Linked DNA regions of Tamandua tetradactyla. The protein of the gene in region 2 purifies or fractionates together with the protein of the main gene of each other region. This does not show direct contact. Links are inferred from orthologs where the notes say so. Each region holds a gene or a part of one and is shown on either strand. Other genes may lie near its edges.

Region 1 (11,427 bases), on a different chromosome or scaffold from region 2:
TCATGTTCCAGAAATGCACCGTTACAGAAGAGACCCTCAAGGAGGGCCAGGCAACAGTATCAATGCCATGGTGTCATCACCAAAGAAATCATTCAGTATACTACATCCTTCATTCCCAAAATGTAGTGGTTTCGGGTACACTATCTAGTCTCTCTTCTCAAAGAGCATTTACTGAATTTTACGTACTGGTCACTAAATGACCAGTCACAGCCCACGGACCCCACCCTCAGGGGCCACCTGACAGGGTTCACATACCATAATAACTTACTCACATAGAATCTGCTGTCCATTCCAAATGACTGAAGGAAAATTCACTTAGGAGAGAGCATTAGAGGGAGAAGAGGAAAAGAATTGGGACTGAGAGTACCAAGCATGTTAGTACCAATCAAGAAAGGCCTTTTGGAGAAGACCTTTTGAAGCATTTTGAACTAAAATCACATGGTGTGGCAGAACTGTAAACATGGGTGTTCCAGAGATATATGAAGGAGTGTGAGGGAAAAAAGAGTCTGTCAAAGTGAGTCCCATTTAACAGACAGCCAAAGAAATTATATAGGAGAACAGCATGTACGAAGGCACAGAGATGAAACGAGACTGGTCACTCCACCATCTCAAGCACTTTATCAAGGCCAGCAGAAAGGAAATAAAAGGAAAAGTGGCAAAAGAGGTAGAAAAGGTAGGTCCTTATGTGGCACTCTTAAGTGACGTCCTAAAGACTTTTTAATTTTATCCTGAAGGCAAAGAATCTTAAACACGAAAGTAACATGAAAAGATTCCTATTTAAGAAAGATCAATCCACAACATATATTGGCAGGGAAGATAATGGAGACAGGAAAACCAAGTAGGCTACCATTACAGTTGATCCAGTGAGAATAAGGGCCAAGAACAGGGAGTAAGGCTGATGAGAAAGGTACAAATCTTCAGGTGATGAACCAATACAGAGGGATGAAGGGAGGTAAGAAAAGGGAGTCCAAGAGAAAGTTTTATGACAATCAGGCTGTACTTAACTGTAGTGCTTACATAGGGAAAAAATCAAGTTGGGGATGCTAGTGGAGTTTCCAAGTGAGAAAATACATATTATGCCCAGTGTTAGAAACTAAAGCATAAAGTTTGAAGTGTTAAGCCCAAGGATTTGGTTTATCTTTTTTAAGCAAGACCAACCAACTGGCTCCTTGATAGTAAGAAAGAAACTATACAAGAATAAAAAGGGTAAATAACTAAAATGAGAAAGTAAAAAATTTTTTTCAATCCCATATTGGCAGGGTTTTAAAGTACTGAATTAGGAATTTCTGTGATACACTCAAGGTTTCCTATTTTCCCCTATTAAATAACTTTCAGGCATGCTTCATACAAGTCTTGGGCTCCACTCAGTGGAGACAGTGACCAAAAGCTCTGGCTTTAATATCATTCTGTTTCAATTTAAGTTCAGTTCTGCCATTTAACACTATGCCTTAGTGCTAGTTACTTAAGAGTTAAAGGTCTCAAATTTCCTCAGCAGCAAATAGGGAAAACAATATCCCTTCCTCATAGAGTTGTTATGAAGATTAAATAAATAACCCCTACAAACTACTTAAGTGCTGATACATTGTAAATCCTCAATAAATGCAAAGATTTTAGAAATGATTATTATTAGTTACTGTTACTGGTAAAAATGTTGTCACATCCTTGAAATATACAGGAACAAACAACAGAAAAGTTGACCTGGGTGGCAGTTACCTGCATGCTTGCCTTCTAAGTATTCATAAAACAGAGCAAGTCTATTTTGTGTACTTTCCTATAAGTATATTTGGAAATTTCAAAATATTTTTTTAAAGGAAAAAAGGACCAGAATCATTGCCTTACATAAAAAGGTCTGATACTGAAACACACATTCCAGACCAAATAAGAGTTTCCTTTTCACTACGCATTTCCTAGTTTTAGCTACAAAAATCATTTCCCTATCCAGGCACCAAACTGCTATTGGTGATAACTACTCAACCTAGAAACTTTAAGATAACCTTTATCCGTTCTCCTCTGTGAGTTTTATCCTTAAACACAACCAAATTTTAAGAAAGAAGGAAGAGAAAGAGGAGGAAGATGATAGAGGGAGGAGGAGGAGAAAATTCAAAACTCATTCCAGGCTGCAGCCATTTCCAATCTTGAATTTTTGGAAAATTCCTCCTTTCAGACTGGATAACACTAGTCCTCCAGAAGTAATTCTAGATTTTACTGTCATACACGCTTTACCATGGCTCTAATCACATTATAATTTCTAACTCTGCTCTGGAATAAATTCATTCAGATCTCTCTTTCAAGAAAAAGCTTCCAAGCAACTCTTTTCTGGAAGGCATATTCTCAGCCCACCACAGACCAACTGCAAGTCTCTTAACTGTTCACTACCTGGTCTCTCCTTTTTCACCTGGATATTTATTAACAAACTTCTCATAGGCCTCTTTCAAGTTTGGTATATACTTCCTAGTGATTCACAAACTGCGTTCTCTCTCCAAGGATCTCTTAAAATCTTTCTTCTATAAAGTCATTCTTGAATGAATATGAAATAATTTTACTCCTCCACTCTCTCCCCACTTACAACCCCCAGCACAATTCTACACTTCCATCTTCTTTAGAAATATTCATTTAATTCTTGCACCTAGCATCTTATTTGTGTAACAGCTGCTTATAACATGTTGGATCGTTGTCCATCCTGTATGTGAAAAAGGAGGAATGATATCTCATTAAAGTGCACCTCACAGTTTTGGAAAAGCCTGATAACCACAACTAGTTAGTCACAGAGCTAAGTGGTAGAATACATTTCTAATGTAATACAGTTTCTAATGGATACAACTAAATTAGATATGGTGTGTCTGGTTTTATTTATGCCTAAATCCACAAAGGTACTTAGTCAGACTTGAGCCCAATCTGCCTTTTAACCACATCTCTAGCACTCTCTTCTTTCTCCAAGCCTCAGCAGGCTACATTTTTCTCAGGACTCCTCAAACACTAAGTGTGGAGTACCCCTTCTTTCCCCTCCCCCTCATCCTGCCCTCTGCCTGGCCAACTTTCTTTGAGCCTTCATTATTGGCTCAATCCCATTCATGCATTAGGAATCAACTGGAACAGCTCCTCTGACCCCCAGCTCCTAGTCAGGTCCTTCTCGCGCATTCTCATTGTACCTATATCAGCATACTTACTGACATACTGCATTATAATCACCACTTTACTATTCAATCAGCCCCACTGTACTGTAAACTCCTGGAAGGTTCAGGCTGAATTCCTCCCCATTTGTCTCCCCAAGACCTGGAACCATGCTGGCTGGGCACACAGTTAGATCCCCAACAGACAATCAGTGCCTGACTGCTGAGACCTACTAGTGAACCCTGGGTAGGCTCCATGTGCACCTGGGTTCCTCACCTACTGTATCTTCCTTGCATAAAGCGGGGACAATGCAACCCCTGGCTCTTAAAGTTGCTATAGAATTAAATGAGGCATCATGAAGCTCTTAGTACAGTGCTTGCCACAGAGAACCATCACATTTGAATGACTAACATTACATCCTTAGTTATCCTATGTATCCTGGAAAATGTCGTGTTGTTGTGAGCAGTATTTTCAGTTTGAAAGACCAGGCAATCACACATCTAAAAATCACTGGCTACCTTCTGATCATGAGCAAATATTTGTTGTGGACCTGTTATGGGCAGGAGTCCTAGCTGGGTATCACTGAGCCCCTAGAACCCAACAAAAGAAACAATAAGACAAAACCTGTACCAATAGTCAAGAGAAAAAAAGGATGCTGTTAGTTTTTCTGTACAAACAGTATAGGTATTTTTCAAACAATCTAAGTTTTGCTTTATAATAGGGGGAAGGCACATGAAAAAAACCAGGGATAGAAAAAGTTCAAAATTAACTCCTGTCATCAAGTGAACCAACAGGAGGAGGCAACTGCTTGTTGCTATTTCCAAATTTCACTTTTACTTAGACATATTTCTCACAAAGGAAATTTAATCATGACCAGGACAGGGACAGACGACCTTTACTTCTCATTCAAATGGAAATTCCACAGATAAGTCCCTAGATTTTTTCCAGTTAGTTTAATTTTGTAGCTTTGAAAAAATGGCTGGAGTTTCATCTGTTTTCTACAAACAGAATGTGGAACGGCTTTTTTTTTTCTTTACCACCTTTAAAAGAGGATAAAACGCACCCTTCTTAATCACAATAGCCTCTTGATAAGAATTACAAAACTGGACATGGTGCCACCTAGTATTAGGAAAGGAGGCTGTGGCCTTAAAACCATTTCCCCCCTCACCAACCCAGAGGTCAGAGTCCCAGTGAAGTTTGTACATTATACTACATTGCTTTGGGTAGCTGCAGAGAGACCTCTAGCGCTGCCTGGATAAGCCTAGTTTGCAAATAGTACCTGCTAATGTCACCTTAACGAGACAATGGCAACATGCTGAGTAGCAACGAACTCAGTGACCACGATGAATGTTTACAGTTTTGCAACCACTTAGGAAATCCTACCTGCTTGGAGCAAGAGATACATAAGGCCGAACGAACCCGAGCATCCAATTTTATTTCCGTAAAACCCTTCGAAGAAAGCATCCACCTTTGCAAACCCCACTCCAAGAAAGGCTAAGAAAACGGGTCCTGTTAGCGGAGGTCGGAACAACCTTTCCTCCAAAGCCTCCACACAATAGATGGTAAACTACTGACCATCTTCACCTTGCCCCAAATGCCAGCAGAAGCAGGAGCGGGAGCTGGAAGAGCTCAGCACGCCTGACCCAAAGGACAACCCTGAAATACAAGAAAATGGTCCTGGCGCATCCTACCCTCCCCCACCCACCATCCTCAAACCCGTCAGTTCCCCGGCTGGTCCCCACCCCCTCTGCGGACCGCCACCACCAGCCTTGGGCCCGGCTCGCCCGCGGGAGGCGCGGGAACGGGCCGCGCCTCGGTCCCCAGCGCCGGCAAGCTGGAAGCTGCACTGCCCGGGGGCAGCACCCCTGCCTGCGCGGCCCCCGCCTCGGCCCCGCGGCCCTCCCTCGCCGACACCAGGCCGCGCCCGCGTGACGGGGCCCACCACGCCGGCGACTCGCGGAGGGCGGCTGCAGCCCGGGCCTCCCCGCTGACCGCCCCGCCCGGTGCCTGCCTGGCCGCCAAAGCGCGCTCACCTCCACATCGCGGCCCTTGTTCTTGAAGCTCTTGATGCGGTGGTTCTCCAAGCCGGGGTTCTCGGCCATGGCTGCGCGCGACTCCGGCGGCGGCTCCTCCTGCGGCGGCGGCGGCGGCGAGTCTCGGCGCGGAGGGGGGGACCGCGGGCGGGGCGGGGGCGCGCGTTCCGCGACGCCGCTGGGCGCGAGGTGGCAGCAGCGCCGGGGGAGCGGACCGATGGACAGGCGGGGCGGGGCGCGGGGGGGGGGTGACGGCGCTGAGGGGCGGGGCGTGCCCGGGAAGGGGAGGGGGCGGGCACGTGACCGGGGGCGGTGCCCAGCCTGGTTCTGGGGGTGACCTCCGCCCCCTAGCAAAGCCTCCCCAGCACCCCTCGGGCTGCAAGTCATACACCAGAAATGGAGCCGGGTTTGGTGGCTTTTACTCGCCCGCGTGCGCGAGAGCCGGCCGGAGACTACAGTTCCCGGCATGCCAAGCTTCGGCCGGGGGAGATTCCTCGCGCCCTTGGGAGAACGAGGGGAATGCCGGGAGCCCTGCGCGCGCCTGGGCGCGAGACCCAGCCCCAGGGCCTCCTGTGGGCGGGGAAGGGGGCGGTGCTTCCCGGAGCTGCACCTTGCGCCCTCCTGCGACGGAGGGGGCGGGGCTTCCTGGGGAAATGAGAAAGGAGCTCCGCTTGTGCCTTGCTCCCTCGCTTCTCCGGACTCCTCCTGCAAGAGTACCACCACCCTCACCCGCTGTTCCCGGGCTCTGCTTTGGGCTGGGAAAAGAACATTTATTTCCACCTGACCTGTGCGTGGGTGTGAACGTGATATGTGTGTTTACGTCTGTGTTACCTGACTTACAGCACCGGAATTAAGCTCGGGGAGAGCAGGCACTTTGGTTGACATTTCATAGCTACTGGACAAACGATGGCGCTTCAGCACCTCCGGATTTCTTCAGCCTCCTCCCAATCCCCGTGCTGCCACCTCCATCCCCTCTGTGGCAGCCCCTGTACGTGTGTGTCCCTGACTCCTGGTCAGCCACCACGCACAATCTCAGTCTCAGAGGCCCTACTCCGCGGGCTCTCCAGTTAGCATCTCTTCTTAGGCTCTTCAGAGGAAGAATCCAGGGGGATTTGCCTCAGAACACTCAGAACTGTTTTCTGGGGCAGGTGGGCTTCGTTTAATTATTTGTGAAATTCAGTTTCAGACTCTGGTGGATATAAACAGGCAAAAAAATGTTATTGTACATGTAGTTCAAATGAACTGATGTCCTTCAAAGATTGCTAGAAAGATAACCATGATGAGATTACTCAAAGAACAGACTTTTAAGGGGCCTAAAAGAGCCAGAGGTCCCAAGGTCACAAACTCAGAGGCATTCAATGGCCAGGCAGGAAATCCAATGGAACTGGTCAGGCTATGTCCAGGGGCATTTGTTTTCTGAGTGGCAGGTGGCCAGTTGGTAAACACAGGACTATTTAAAGGCTCCAGACCCTTGTAGCCCAGTGTTGCCTGAGGGTCTAATTTTTCAAAAGAGTAACAAAGCTGGATTTTTTTTCCTTTATTTTTAAATGACACTTTTTTTTTTTAATGTACTTGGATATCCAGTCAGTATTCTGCTTTGAAACTGTTATATTCCCCAGAAAAGCCATGTTCTTCTAATCTATTCTCCTGAGTGGAAACTTTCAATTAGGTTGTTTCCATGGAGATGTGACCCACCTTATTCAAAGGTTGGTCTTAATCATCTTTACTGGAGTCCTTTATGAAAAGATAAAAGGCAGAGATATTTTGGAAAGGGCTCAGAAACAGAAATGCCCCAGGAGGAACAAGCAAACACACACAGAAGCTCAGAGACATTCTAGAGAGAAGGGCCAGTAGACATCACCATGTGACTTCCCAGGTGCAAGAGGAACCCTGGATACCATCGGCCTTCTTCAGAGTCAAGGTATCATTCTCAGGATGCCTTAATTTGGGCATTTTCATAGCCTTAGAACTGTAAATTTGTAATTTAATACATTTCCTTTGCAAAAGCCAGTCCATTTATGATATATTGTATTCCAGCAGCTTTAGCAAATCGTAACACTTAGGAACTCCAGGCTTTCAGTCTGCCACTCCTGGTCCCTAACCCTTTTGAAAGAAAAAAACATCACTAACAAAAAACTAGGACTTAAAATGAACAGATTTCTTCAACTCTCGTTCATAAAGATATAGAGGTGGCATATGTGTCACTTTCCCAGATTATCTGGGAGGGGAAGGAGAGAAAATTCTATACTGTTGCTGAATCCCTGTTATAATTAAGCAAGGTATTCTTTTATCCCCTTCTACCACCTCCCTTCATCCTACCTGCTGCCTTCAAATGTATAAACCTTTCTTGACTCATTTTGGAGTTTTAGACATATTTGGTGATCACTTACTGTGTATGTCAGCCTTGGTACTAGCATTAAGATCCTCTTGTAAACAGGACAACCTGGTTCCAGGAGACATCACAACAAAATAAATAATCACTCAGAAAATGGGGTGGAAGTTAAGAAAGGGTAAGGAAGCTCAAAGCCCTCTACAGGGAGACTTTTATAACCTGTCCATTCCAAACTTTTGAGGCTCTCAGAGCAAAAGTGTAAGTGGAGGTCTACAATTCATAGGTATAAATATTTAGAAGTTATAAATCAAGCTGAAAAACTTAAATAAAATATATTCTAGCCTCTTGCATTAACAAATGCACCTCTTCAACAACCTTAGAGTCTGAGTTCAAATTTAAATGTCTTAATTTCCCCAACTTCTGCTTCAGAAGGTGGCTTCTCAAGGAGGGTTGGGGCCCCACCCACATCTTGCTGTTTGTCCCCCTTCTCTTCCCTGTCCTGATTCTGTGCCACACTGTAATGACCCATAATGTTCAAGTCCTGCCTACTCATCCCCAAAGCTCTGTCTCCATCCTTCTACCTGCCTCAAGAGGGTTAGGCCTAGATGCACAAGCAGAGGTGGCATGATGTCTCCCTTGGAAGACAGACCCAGAGAAAACACTTGGAAAGACCCTGGGAACAGGCTTGGAGTGATTTGAGCAGGGAACCCCAGGGCACTGGTACTCAGAAATTGGTCCAAAGGTTCAGGTTCCAGTGAATAAGATCCTTTGGCCCCATGGACCCCTTTCCTCATGGAGGGGGGTGGTGGATACACCAGAAGTGAGTTGAGATCCTCTCAAAGTTAGTTTCCAAAGCTGGGACCCCTCTTGCCCAGGTCTAACTTAGTCACTTCTTGCCATTATCCCCTGGTGATTTCAACATCCACAACTCAGGAATTCCAGTCCTAGATTCTCTTCACATCTTAACTTCACTGGGTTTCTATCACTTATAACCTATCAGGCCTTGGAGTTCTTAATCTCCAGGAAATGACCACCTCCAGCAACTCAAATTTGGTGTTTCTCATGGCTAGCACCTACCTGCTACTTTTGGCTTCACTGTAGTCTTGACCCTTGCCCTGAAATTTCTCCTGGTAACTCTTCTTTTAAATAGACTTATTTTCCAAATATATGTTGAGTGCTCACCACCCACCAAGCATTGTCTTCATCAGGGAAACAGGGTCTGGGGGCGGGGGGTACCAGAACAGAGGTAGAAAGAAAGGGCCCAAAGCCAGGGGATCAGCCAAACCCTCCTTCATCCTCTGTTTCATCATCCATCATTCCCAAAGCATTGGGAATCTTGCTAGGTGGCGATACACAGCAGGCAATGCAAACCCAACAGATCCAAAAGGGAACGCATCATTTTCCCCTCAAATCAGCTTCTCTTTGTAAATTCTCTGGCTCTATGATGATATAGCCGTTCCCCCAAGGCCTCCTTGCTCAAAGCCAAGAGCCGTTTTTGCTTCCTGCTCTTCCCTTGGCTCTCTCACCCTGCTACCATGTTAATTCATCCTTCAGTGTTTTCTTAATCCTTCAGTGCCACCCACAAGACTGCCATTATGCCTCTCCATTCTGGTGGTTTGGCACTGTAGGTGCTCCAGAAAAACATGTTCTTAAACTTAATCCACTCCTGTGAGTAGGAACCCATTGTAAGCAGGACCTTTTGATGAAGTTCCTTTGGTTAAGGTGTGGTCCACCTCAAGCAGGATGGGTCTTAATCCTATTACTGGGGTCCTTCATAAGCAGAATGAAAGTCAGACAGAGAGAGAGAGAAAGCCACAAAAGGCACAAAGCTGAAATTCAATGGAATCTGGAAGAGATGGGAGAGACCAGAAGAGGCCACCATGTGCCTTACCATGTGACATGACAGAGGAGCCCAGGACTGAGGATTGCTAGCAGCCAGGCTCAGAACACCAGCCTCTGGGAAGAAAGATCACTTTGCTGATGCCTTGATTTGAACTTCTCCTAGCCTCAAAACAGTGAGCCAATAAATTCCCATGCTTTAAGCCAACCCATTGCATGGTATTTGCTTGAGCAACTAAGGAAACCAAACCATCTGTTCTCTCCACAATGACTCAAATCCCTTCTCCTGATTTTCCTGACTTTTCACCATGATCTGACCCAGACATCCCTCTTCCTCCACCACTGTTAAATCATTTCTAAACTCAGTCTGGTGATTAAGGTCATAAGTGACCTGGCCCCAGCATTGAACACTTCTCTTATTTCTGGTTTTCCTACACAAAGCTCATGCTTTACCCAACAGGTTTGATTCACCCTTTTCCAAACATGTTTTTGCCTTTCCAACTTCCCATCTTTGATGGTTTTTTGGGGGTGGGGAGGAAGATGCATGGACTGGGAATTGAACTCAGGTCTCCCGCAGGGAAGGTGAGCATTCTACCACCGAACCCCCTGTGCACCACTCCCCACCAACCTTGATGTTTTGATTTGCTTAGAAAGCCCCGCCCCTATCTTTGCCTGTCAAAATCAACCCTTCTTTAAATACCCATCCCAAGTCCATGAAACTTTCCCAGCTTGGCACAGTGGAGGGACCTTTCAAATCTGAAAACTAAGGGCCTAGGACTGATTTCCACATGAACAAGCTTAGACAACTCATTTTTCTTCCCTGAACTCTCTTATCTACAAATGAGGATTCTGAATTGCTGGGGTTTTTGTGAAAATCAAATTATGAAATATATGTGAAATTGTTATCTTAATATTAACTTTTGCTATCTTTCCAACCAAGAGTGCATATTTTTTCTCTGAACCTCAGAACTTTACCTATTACTTTGTATTGGTGCAATCTGTGCAGAATCTAATCTTTCCCACCCACCTGTTGTTTCAGTTTGCTAAAGCTGCCAGAATACAAGATATGAGAAATGGATTGGCTTTTACAGAGGAGATTTATTAGATTACAAATGTACAGTTTAAGGCCATGAAAATGTCCAAATTAAGGCATCAGGAGGGAGATACCTTCTCTGAGGAAAGGCTGCTGGTGTCTGGGTTTCCTCTGTAATGTGAGAAGGCACATTGCGACATCTATTGGTCCTTTTCTCCTGGATTATGGTTTCAAATGGCTTTCTCAATTTCTGTGGTTCCTTCTTACTTCTCCTGGGACGTTTTCTTTCCCTGAGCTCTCTCCAAAATGTCTCTGCCTTTTATCCTTCCATAAAATCCTCTTTCAGCAAGGGGATGAAGACCCACCTTGAATGGGCTCCACGGAAACAATGTAAGCAAAAAATTCCACTCACGACAGGTCTGCTCCCACAGGGATGGATCAAAAGAACATGGTCTTTTCCGCGGTGCAAACAGATTCAAATCAGCACATCTGTAAATGCTTCAAAAGGCTTGTTCAAATCTGTGCTCCCCAGCCTAGAATAACTGGATCTCAGTGCAGGTATGCTGAATGAATAAATGAATTACTGAGTAAATGAACGAACGGATTCCCTCATGATCGCCTTTTCTATTTCACAGTCCCTAAGAGCCCCTGAAGCAAAAGCAAATACAGAAAAGTGAAGGTAGCAGCATTTGAATTCTTCAGCCCAGCTACCCAGGAGTACACGCATAAACTTCGGTGGTACTGGTCTAAACCAGTGAGAGTTTTCATTCACTGAATACCTACTGTGCTAAACATCTAGACACAGCATCTCCAATCCACCTGAGAACACTGCATGGTTAGAATGATTCTCTCTATCCCTCTCTGGGGCAGGAGGAGAACAGGGCTCTGATTCCAAGGCCCCGTGAGTCTCTGTGACAGCGGCAGGAGCAACGGAAGCAACACCCATAGAGAGATGGGTGGTGGTGTGGACAGCATCTAAAGCACTGGTGAGGGGGACCTCCAATTTCCCTAAAGAACAAATACCATCCTTGAGCTCCAGGAAAGCAAGTTTCCCACCCCAGGGGTGCCCCTCTCCAAGG
Region 2 (10,890 bases):
ATAAACAAATGAGACCCAAAGGATAAATCTAGGTCTAATACTTAAAAAAAGAGAATGAAAAGGATCACAAGCATGGTTTCGATGTATAAAATCAATCAATATACTACATCTACAAAATGAAATACTATATAGCCATTTAAAAAACAGTAGACCTATATGTACTAACTCAGAACTTCTGAGGTAAGTGAGAAAAAAAGGGTGACACGGAGTATGCTACCACACATCCATATTGCTTCCGGCCAGACACCCAGAGACTGGTAACCAGGGCAGGAAGTTAGAGGTTTGTAGTGCTATGAAAAGACAGTATTTTCACTACACCCTTTGGACTTTTTTTTTAAAACCATGGACATATACTCAAAAGATTGTTTTTCTTAAAGAATCAATTATAAACAAAACACAGATTTCATTACAAAACAGAGAATAAATGTCACCAGATTTGACATCATAAGCATGTACACACATCAGATAGAAGGCAGGAAGTACATGAGGGAAGGAGAGGGAGAGATGTGCAGGATAATAAGTTCAGATTCTCACTTATTTAAACAGGCAACAATCATTCTTAACTCTGTGGAGTTGCTACACTCTGGTTCAGCAGCTACATTAGAGACACAGGAAGGATACTCTACAAAACAGAATCCACAAGCTGTTTTTTTCATTTTATCTAGGCCCATAATGATTTTCTTTATGTCACCACTTTTGCTGAAAAGTTCATAGATTTGTTCTTCAGTTGTGTAGAAGGAAAGATTTCCAACATACAATGTACAGCTTTTCTTCAGTAACTTCTCTTGTTCTTCATTGTCACCCTAAGAATTGAGAAAAAGGTAAGCAATACAATTTACAAAGGGCCCTGTTTAAATAATATTCCAATTTTTCATTATTTCTTATTTTTCATTAAATTTTCATTAAATATGAAAACTTTTCATTAATTCTGATTGGGGAATTAGCTTCTCTCTTCATCCCACTGCACAAATCCCTTGCAAAAAAAGAAGAGGGTTCACACTCTACATAGTGCTTATGGAAGGTCCAGGCAGCTTTTAGTAGCGCGTCAAGGCCACAAGCAACCTGCCTTCCACTACACTGTATTGCCAAGCTTAAAATCCAAATCTTGAGCCAATATGTGAGAAAACGCTCTCTTATCCTCTGCAGCAAAAAATAAACGACTTTCTAGAGATAGGGTTCTCCTTATAATGCTCTTAGAAATGCACAAAGCAGCAACTGCTTAGATGATCACATGCTCAAATAATTTTCTGAGCTTAGAAGAAAATACAGTAATCACTAAAATCAAGAGATGTCACTTTCTGGGCTTCCTAATTTAGGAGCCAAAATGAAGCCAGAGACAGGACTATAACTTGGTTTCAGCAAAAATACCTGACAATTCCTGAGGACAACAGGGCTACTCATGGCAATTTAGGTATCTTTACAGAAACCAGTGTGGCAGTTCCTGGACTTCCTTTTCTACCCTCTACATTAAGAAGGACAAATGCTGATTAAATAAGAACCTCACCAGCTGACCTACTCTCAGGCCCTTCTGATCCAGATAGGGCTTTAACATCAACCATACTACTGTGTGGATTTAAGGTGACTTCTTAAACCTAATGGTGGTATTACTGCTTACAAAGCATAAGCTGAGTGGACCCATTATCAATTCCCCACAGAGCTCTTTCTTCAGAGCCCTTCTTTCTTCATTTACTACTCCCTAAGTAAGGCTGCCCAGTTCTTCCATTCTGAAAATATGACCTTGCGTTATTTGTTTCTGAATGCTTTGTAGGAGCATTCAGAGTAATAGATCTCATGATCACATTCAGTGACAGAGAAACAGGTAAATCATATAAACTCACATCAAAAGAAAACTGATTAAATAAATTATGGCACATCAGGCCTCGCTTTCCCTAAGCCCGACTCTGCAAGTGAAATCACTGCCCTCCCTGCTACGTGGGACATGACATCGAGGGTCAAAGTCTCCCTGGTGGCATGGGAGATGACTCCCAGGGATGAGTCTGGCCCTGGCACTGTGGGATCAACAATTCCATCCTGACCAAAAGGGGGAAAAGACGTATAACTAATAAAAGTATCAGTGGCTGAGAGAGTTCAAATACAGTCGAGAGGCTACTCTGTGGTCACTCTTAGGTAAGCTTCAATTAGACATTGCTACCTATCATAACTTGCCAAACCCCAACCAAAACCATTCCAACCAATCCTAAAGAACACTTGGGGCAATATATAAGATTCTACAAAGATTCCACACTGGGGGTAACTTTCCAGAAAACTACAATCCAGATGGGTCGCAGGACCAGATAAGTCCTGAAACCTAGAGGGCCCAGCCTCTCCAGAACATCAGATAGTTCCATCTCCCTACCCTATATTATTAATAATCTCTTCCAACATGAAAAAGTTATAATAGCCATAGCCCAAATACCCCTAATGAGTGGGATAGAAAGATTAAAGGTGATGGTGGAGTTATACAGAGAAGGTAGGGTTTAACAACAAATGATTTCTGAATCACTGATTATTTCTTTTTAATCTCCAGTATCTTGAAGCAGCTGTGGAATTGTAACCCATACTAAACTCTGAAATCTATTCTACAACTAATTATGCTGTGCTTTGAAATTTATTACTTTTTTGTATATATATATTTTTCACACAAAAAAAGTTGATTGTGATGATAAAATATTTATTCCTTCTAGTCTCCTATGTTCTGGAGCAGTTAGAATGAAAAATCTGAGATAATGGTATGGCAACTCATGACAAACTCTGGGATGTGTCCTGTAACTACTTGTTTGAAGAGTGCTTTGAAAACTATTGCTTTTTTCTTTCTTTGTTTTGTATAAATGTTATACAATAAAAAAGTTAAATAAATATGGCACATCAAATATGTATCCCCTAGAAAAATGCACAGCCTCATGCAATATGGAACATTTCCAAGATGAAGTGCAAAGTGAAAAAGTGAAAAGTGCAAAGCGAAAAAAGAAAATCAATGAAAACAGTATGTTCCAACTTATTAAGTCTGAATATACACAAGTATCACACACAAGAAACTGGTAACTATGTCTGAATCTGGGAGAAGCAGAGATTTTATGTATATGTTAAATCATTCAGTTCTCAGAACTGTATGAAGAAGGTCCTAATTTATCATACTCATTTTACATAAGAGGAAAAACACAATTAAGTAACTTGTCCAAGGTTCAACAGCTACTCAGTAGTTGTAGCTGGAATTCAAACCCACTCTTACCTCAATCCCATACTACCCTTAAAAGCCCACAGAACTCCTGGGATGAGCCGGCACTCAGCACCATAGGATTGAGAGAGCCTTCTTGACCAAAAGGGGGAAGAGAGGAATGAGACAAAATAAAGTTTCAACGGCTGAGAGATTTCAGAGTCGAGAGGTTACCCTGAAGGTTATTCTTATGCATTATCTAGTAGATACTGTGTTCCAGTAGCCTTGATTCCTGAAAACAATTGTATAACTATATAGTTTTTACAATGTGACTGTGTGATTTATCCAGGGTATGGACAGGTGAGTAAAAAAAATACGGACAAAGAATGAATAAATAATGGAGGGGGGTAAAGGGTAAAATAAAAAGTTGGGCATACTGAAATACTAGTGGTCAATAAGAGGGAGGAGGAATGTATGAGCTTTTTCTTTTTATTTCATTTTCTGGAGTGATGCAAATGTTCTAAAACGATCATGGTGATGAATACACAGTTATGTGATAAAAAATCCGTACAAAAATCATTCTATGTTAAAAACAGGTTTTCAGAACTTTGAAATAAAACATTAGGAAAAGTAAAATCACTTTATATTACTGTTATATGTTAAAAATTACAGTAAGGAGGCATTTCCTTTTTTCTGCTGTTCTCACATGTAAGTAATGTCAAACTAATGGCCTATGGCTTAAGACAACAGTGGTGTAAGTATTTACTTAAGGTATATTAGTGTGTATTCCATTCAGGGAACACTCGAAATTCCACCTGGCAGTACTGTACTACTATCCAATCAAAGCAACAGGCTTTAGACTGTAGAGATGAGTAATAGCAAAAGTCGAATACTTTCAGTTTTAATCTTGCAGGATGGTTTAAATTCAAGATACTTATGATGTGAAACTTTGTAAAATAATGAGAACTGTAAAAGTGGTGGAAATGGAAATCATGCTGGCACACAGTAAACATTAAAAACTGCTGACCTTTACAATCACTACTAGATGGTTGAGAGCTCTTAGGGTGAGGTAACTGTCTCCCCCCTCCCCCTAGGGCTTAGCTAAAAGCTAAATGTTTACTAGATAACTGGATTGGTAAATCCACCCCACCACTACCACCGCCTTACACATGTCCTTTGTTGATAACGAAAAGTCCAGCATGAATAAATACTGCAGGCTCTCCTTTTCCACAAAAATCTTCTCTGACACTGCCCAATATAAAATGTCCCTCCCGCAAATCAGCAGTTCTCTGATCTTGACACCCAGACATCCTCAACGTGCCTAGCTAGGCTGGTCCATCTCTTTACACGGACAACTCCATGTGGTGGGGGATGCCGCAGGGTTCAAGTTTTATCTCCCACCACTGAGAACACTGTAAGACCTTCCTACTAGACAAAGGAAAGGACCCAAAATGCCAAAGGGCATTGTTTCGGTAATCTAGATTAAGAAAAAAGAAAAGCCCCGATATCTGGGTCAGGAAGGCGTCTCCGCGTACAAGGAGCAAATGCAGAACTGAGAAAGCGAGCCTCGAACTCCCTTTCTATGAGAGGAAATAGCTTCAGTGATAACCAAACGCCCTACCGAATCCATTTCCTGTCTCCCCAGGCCGCACTATGGCCTTACTTCAATATGAGGGACAGCATCAGGGTGGAAGACACAACAACGAGACAGGGCAAATCGTTTCTCAGAGTACTGGCCCAGGGTCCTCCCTCTCGTGGCCCGGCCTCCCTTACCCGGAAGTGCTGGTCCCGGTATTGGCTCAACTCCACGTAGGAGTCGCTGCGCAGCGCCTTCAGAAATCCGCTAGACATAGTGCACGGAGGTGAATAAGGACGCTGCGACGCCGGGAACAAGGTGGCCGAGGCGGAGCCGGAACCGGAAATGCGTATGGTGGATGCAGAAAGCGGAAATCCCAGGCCCAATCCAAGCGCGTCAGTGTCGTCATCAGGTTGCGCCGATGCAGGACGCGGTCCTTGTTGGGAGTCGCCGATGAGAAAGCGTGCGCTGTGTGCTCCGGGTTCCGGGGCGCTCCGGGTAGGATGGTTCTTCGGCGGCTACTGGTTTCCTTGCTGAACAGCTCGCAACTGGTGGAGCGTCTGTCCGAGTCGCGGCCCATCCGGCGTGCGGCGCAACTCACGGCTTTCGCACTGTTGCAGGCCCAGCTGCGCGGTCAGGACGCAGTCCGCCGCCTCCGGGGCCTCAAGGCTGGGCCCGCGAACTCCCTGGGCTGCCGTGCTGCCCGCTTCAAAGACACCTTCACCCAGGAACTGCGCCGCGGCCTTCGGGACCGCCCGGGGTCACCACCAGGTAGCCAAAGAGGCCCGGGCTCAGAACCCTAAGCCCGGGCTTGGCCGAGTCGAGATCACCTACTTTCCCTTCTGGGCTCTACATCAACCTCGACATTGAAGCACTGCGCACGGCCCCGAAATCTGACTACAGGGTCCCACTCATGGGAAGGCCCAGACCAAACCGACAAGCGTGTTGAAACCCTTTGATCGGACCGATACAATATGGGGAAAGACGCCGAAGCCCGACGGGTAAAGATAGGCCAGGCCCAGATACAAGACATACAGAGAGCCACAGCCTGAAAGAGATCCTGCTCTCTGCAGATGAGACCGAAATTCTTGATAGATGCTGCTGCATCTACACTGGTACAGCCCGGCACTCTTCCAAAGAAGATTACTGACGGAAAGACAACCCTGCAGCTGCCAAAATACCCTGATTAAATGTGTGAGCTGATGAATGGGCCTGAGTGTGATACTTCTCAGGCAGGATGGATTAGGAATCCTGGGGGCTGTAGGTCCGTGGTAATAGTAAACACATATTGAGTGCTTGCTTTGTTGGTAACTTGCTAAGTGCATCTGAACATGTAAGGAAATGGAGGCTACTTGTAAGTTGCCAAACATCTTACAGAGTGGTTTGTGAACACAGGCACTTGTCTCCAGGGCCTCAGTCCTTAATTATAGTTTCTTTGCCCTTACCCTGACCCTCAATGCTTGCCTATACCCATCAGCACCAGCCCCTGGAACAAGCTGCCTGGGTTCTTACTCCCCCATTTTAGAGAGTAAGGGATACAGACTAGGACTGTTCCAGCTAATGGGCCTATGATTAAGAAATCAATTGTATACAGAAGTACCCTGTCTTTGGGGCTTCTAGCTGAATTTCTGGTAATCACTTATTAGGCTACTTCATTAATCGTGTAATCGAGAAAGCTTGAAGGCACAGGAAAGGCTTTTAGGCTGGTGGCCACACAGAATTTAATACCTAAGCTTTTCTCTCAGTCATGAAGAGTCTACCCTGGGAATTTCAAACTCATGACCCTGGAGTACAAGCAATAAATGGGGAGGGCAGTGTTACCAAGTGGAGAGTCTCTAACCCATCCAGGGTGGGTATTGGCTTCTCAGTGCCAGCTGGGTTTTGTTGGGTGGGGTTGTGGTAGTGCTGGATCGTATGGTTTTTCAGAAGCTGGAAATTATGTTTTGTAGGAAAAATCTGATTTCTAGAGTATTGACAAAAACATTTATTACTTCACATGTAACAAAATAGCCATTGGCTACCATTTTTACTACCTTAGCTTTGGCCTTGCTTTGTCTTTTACAAATGAAGTAGAGGTTCCAGTCCTGGTGCTACACGGTTTTTGGATATAAAGGCTATCCAGCTATGTATTGTAATTAGTATTGCTTTCATGCAGACAGTCCTGCTTTTTACTTTTATAGGTTTCTGTATCAGTATCATTTTAGCAGCTCTTTCTAAGAGTAGGATCCTTCTTGCCACCTTCATTATCTCCATTATTAAGAAGATGAGTCATGGGCTGCCACCACTGACACCATCAGTTGATCCTCCTCTTACAGATCCCCTCCTAAACCTGTATCAGGTCCTCTCTGGGAATAGACCCAGTGATTACTTTGAGAGGCATAAAAAGATGCTCTTCAAATAATACTGCCAGATGTGTTTGAAACCTGAAAGCTTTCACAAGTGACAAAGCTTTCCATTCTGCCCTGGATACCTACCGGAGTGGCTGGCTGAGCATATCCTGGCTTGCCTACAAGGTGTATTTTCAACAATTTTCTCTTCTCTGGCGATAGGGGATTGGTTTGAGGTTTGCAATCAGATGCAGACTCCTAGGAATTCATATTCAAGACAACGAATTATTGGTAGCCATGTTAGTGACTAACTAAAAAGAAAGCCCTGAATTACCTACTGCCAAGGGATCCTGATTCTGCCCTTATCAAGTCTTAGTTGTGTGACTCTAGATTTTAGGATATAACACAGTATCCTTATAACAGATTTTCCTTTTTCAGGTTAGTTACAATCAAAAGAGCATTAACTAAACTAGTAAACGTCCCACTGAAAAAATGAAGCATAAATTGAAAATACACCAGAAAAAAAGGAGAACAACTCTCCACCCAGTAAGTCACTTAAAGTGGATATGCCCGAAGGATCCTTAGGGTATTGGCTTTTTGGAGGATAATGGTGACTGAAGAGTTTACAGTCAAAAGCAGGAGAGGAGAAGGTTAAAATTGTGTCTAAATTGGCCCTGTTTGCTTTGACCTGAGAAGGTCAAAGAAGGTATTCTAGGTCCTGCTCCATCCATACTTGAAAGGAATATATCTTTTCAGTTACAAATAGAATTGTTCTATCTACTCTTGTTCTCCACTTTCCCAATGGCGTATTCTGATTTGGCATCCCACCCTCCTGCCTTTCTATCAGAAGGGCTATTACATCCTCTCTGATGCCAGACGCCCCACTCTCCTAATGACCAAAGTCCTGGTTTGACCTCCTCCTATCAAAGTTGCTATCAAAGCTCCCTCTTCAGGACTAGAGGTGACGCCCCCTGGCAGTGGGGAGCCTGAGAAACTTGCCCTGCCTGCTGCCTCTATCTCTTTGGTCTCTGGATATCAGAACAGCAGACTATTAGCAGTCCCCAGCCCAACCCCTTACCCCCAATATAAACAAGCGCACAAAAGGAGAAGCAGTAAGGAAGTAATGAAGCTTCCAGATGCAGATTGGCTATTTGGTAAGAAAGGAAAGAAAAGGGGGCAGTTCTTTATTTTCCCTGGAAGAACTTGTATAAGAACTAATTTCCTTCTATTTTTTTTTCAGATAGAGAAAACTGGGTCCATCTTTTCTGCTCTAGCAAGAGGTGATTTCATTCCCATCTAGCTTCATTGGAGGGGCAGCCTCCCATGTTTATAGTCAGTAGCCTGTCATTCCACCATTACCTTATTGATGAAGAAACAGACCAAATTCTTCCCAGCATCCCTTTCCAAGCTCTTCTAAGTCCTGACGAAAGATGGAGGGAAGCAGCTCACCCACTATACCACAGACCAATTAAGACTCATCACTTGATGCTGGAGAAATACCAACACTTTACAGACAGATATACAATCTACATGGACTGCCACAAGAACAATTCCTCCAGGGAATTCTGAGGGTGTGAACCCAATTGCAGGGGAAGGGACAGGCAAAAGTGCCAAGAATCCCAGAGGACAGTTTGGAGTCCCAGGATCTGGAGTGTCTTCAAGGTGACACGTGATTTAATAGCCATAGGGCAGAAAGCCATCTTTGGCTGCAAAATAGACAAGTGGTCATCAATGCCAGATGGGATGATAAGCAATAGAGGTATGAAGACAAATCAGAAAAGCAAAGCACGAGAACAATGAAGTGTCATGATGGGTATAATAAAATTCCAAGGAGGGAAATATCTTGTGTTGTACTACAGCCAACTCATACTGGCTCATGAGATCAGACTGTTGACATTTTGTCCCAACTCTTAGTTCAATGGTATCATATTGGTAGCTTGAATTGACTGTGGAGAAAATATTTACACCATGGAAATTAGCAAATGCTCCAAATCAGGGTCCCCACAGTCACACTCCAAAAAAAAGAGTTAGTTGTTAAGCATCTGCCAGCACATCAGACTTTCCTCTTCCTCAGTGGTGCTGAGTCTGAAGGAAGAGGTGACGCTAGAGCAGCAGCCATAGAGCAGCATGCCTGCAGTGGGTGTTGCTCTAAGGTGACTAAGGCTTTGGCCAGAATGCAGAACTTGAAAAGTACTCAGGTTTGGTCTTTTTCAAAGGTTTGGTTTCCTGTCTGTGCTAATCTCCAGGTCGCTCATCTTCCCTGTGACTTGGGTGCCTCTTGTTTTCATTTGGGATGGTAGGAGCATGAGGAAGGAGAATGAAAACAGTCTTAGGCATGACCACAGCTTCTCAAGCTCCCAGTAGCCAGGGTGGAGGGTACCCTCTGTTGTGGGGAGAAACCTGCCTAGTGATGTTGGTTTGTCATGGAGTTTGCTCTCTAGCCTCTGAATTCGGAGAGTGACAGACCACATATAAGAAGAAAGACCTCTGGGAGCGCCAAGTTGTCCTCAAGTGCTGTCAGATACTGAATGAGCCCTACAGGTTTTCTGCTCCCGCAGCAGGCAGAGGGCCTAAACAGACAGCAATACTGAGGAGGGAGAACATCTGGGCACCTAATCTGGGAAAATGATTCTCAAGGGGCAAGGCACAGAAATGTCCAGAGTTTCCCACCTCCTCTGTCAGGAACAGTAGTAGAAGAGAGTGGGGAGAAAAGACAGAAAATTACTTGTTTTGGATATAACCAAACGCTGAGACAGCAGGCATCAAAGTGTCACAAAATACAAAAACACTCCCAACTTTCATGCTTAAAGAGTTTTACTGCCCAGTTAGGGGACTGTAAACCCCAGGAATGACTCGGTTTTAGCTGGCAAGACACCGCAGAGGCTCTCCAATCCATGTACACTTGGAGAGCAGATTAGGTGAAGAGATAGGGTTTTTCTTAAAATCACACAGCCATTAAGTAGAAGACCAGGACTAAAACTCAGGTCTCCTAAATCTGAGTCACATGCTGTCTCTACCTCACTGATTTCTAGGCACCTGAGAAGCCAACAAGTTATCATGGCAGCAAGAGGTGATGGAAGGTGTGGGAGAGATCATTCAGGAATCTAATTAGCAGTTCATCTCTTCACATTCAGGTATTTTGATATATTTAAACCATCACAGTGGCTGAATGAAATAGGGCAGGAACAGACATTAGGTACCACTGATTATGCCAGGATTCTTTGGAGACCTTGGCATCAGAACATGACTGGTCATATCTTTGGTCTCTGAAGTAAAAGGTACCCATTTACCCAGAAGGCAGAGCAGCCAGCAGCTGTGCCCAGGAGAGGCAGAGTGAGAATTCTGAAAGAGAAAAGAAAGGATGAGAACCCGGTCCCTGACCTACCACCACTACCTACCTACAAGGTGGAGTGGTAGATTCTGGCTGAACTTTGGGCAGTGACTGCTCCACCATTTGTCCAGGCTTCTCACCTAGCTCCATGATATGAAGGCTGAGGAGATCCCTCCAAGTCCCATTCAGCAAGGAAGACAGGGCTGGTGGGTCCTCCAGGGTTAAGTGGGGAAACATGAGTGTCTCATTCTTGAGGGGGAAGCCGCACCTCTCCACAGCAGGCCTGATGGTGCCAGGGGTCACCACGAAGAGGCGGCAGATCCATGGTCCACTTGCTGCATGGCAGACTGACTGTGTGGTGACGTTGTTCAGGGCTTGGCACAGGATCCAGTCCTCAGGCCCACCCATGTCCACCACCTCCACAGGTGACCCCAGACCTGGGAGGCGTAGGAGGTGCCGGGGGGGCATGTAGGTGTGGGCGAAGAGGAGTGTGTAGTGTGTG

What was found.
Region 1: the proteins of NCBP2 (region 2) and KPNA3 purify together in Homo sapiens (co-immunoprecipitation; 3 studies listed by BioGRID and IntAct, with this or other methods). This does not show direct contact. The link is inferred for Tamandua tetradactyla from reciprocal best matches to the Homo sapiens genes NCBP2 and KPNA3.

The regions. Positions count from the first base shown.
Region 1 is NC_135330.1:108,180,945-108,192,371, reverse strand, and holds the start of KPNA3 (importin subunit alpha-4), read right to left. Parts: upstream 5,278-11,427; 5' UTR 5,214-5,277; coding exon 5,145-5,213; intron 1-5,144. UniProt on the Homo sapiens protein: Functions in nuclear protein import as an adapter protein for nuclear receptor KPNB1. Binds specifically and directly to substrates containing either a simple or bipartite NLS motif.
Region 2 is NC_135336.1:16,603,913-16,614,802, reverse strand, and holds the start of NCBP2 (nuclear cap-binding protein subunit 2), read right to left. Parts: upstream 5,080-10,890; 5' UTR 5,006-5,079; coding exon 4,928-5,005; intron 804-4,927; coding exon 622-803; intron 1-621. Other genes in the region: protein NCBP2AS2, read left to right, coding at 5,234-5,533. UniProt on the Homo sapiens protein: Component of the cap-binding complex (CBC), which binds co-transcriptionally to the 5' cap of pre-mRNAs and is involved in various processes such as pre-mRNA splicing, translation regulation, nonsense-mediated mRNA decay, RNA-mediated gene silencing (RNAi) by microRNAs (miRNAs) and mRNA export.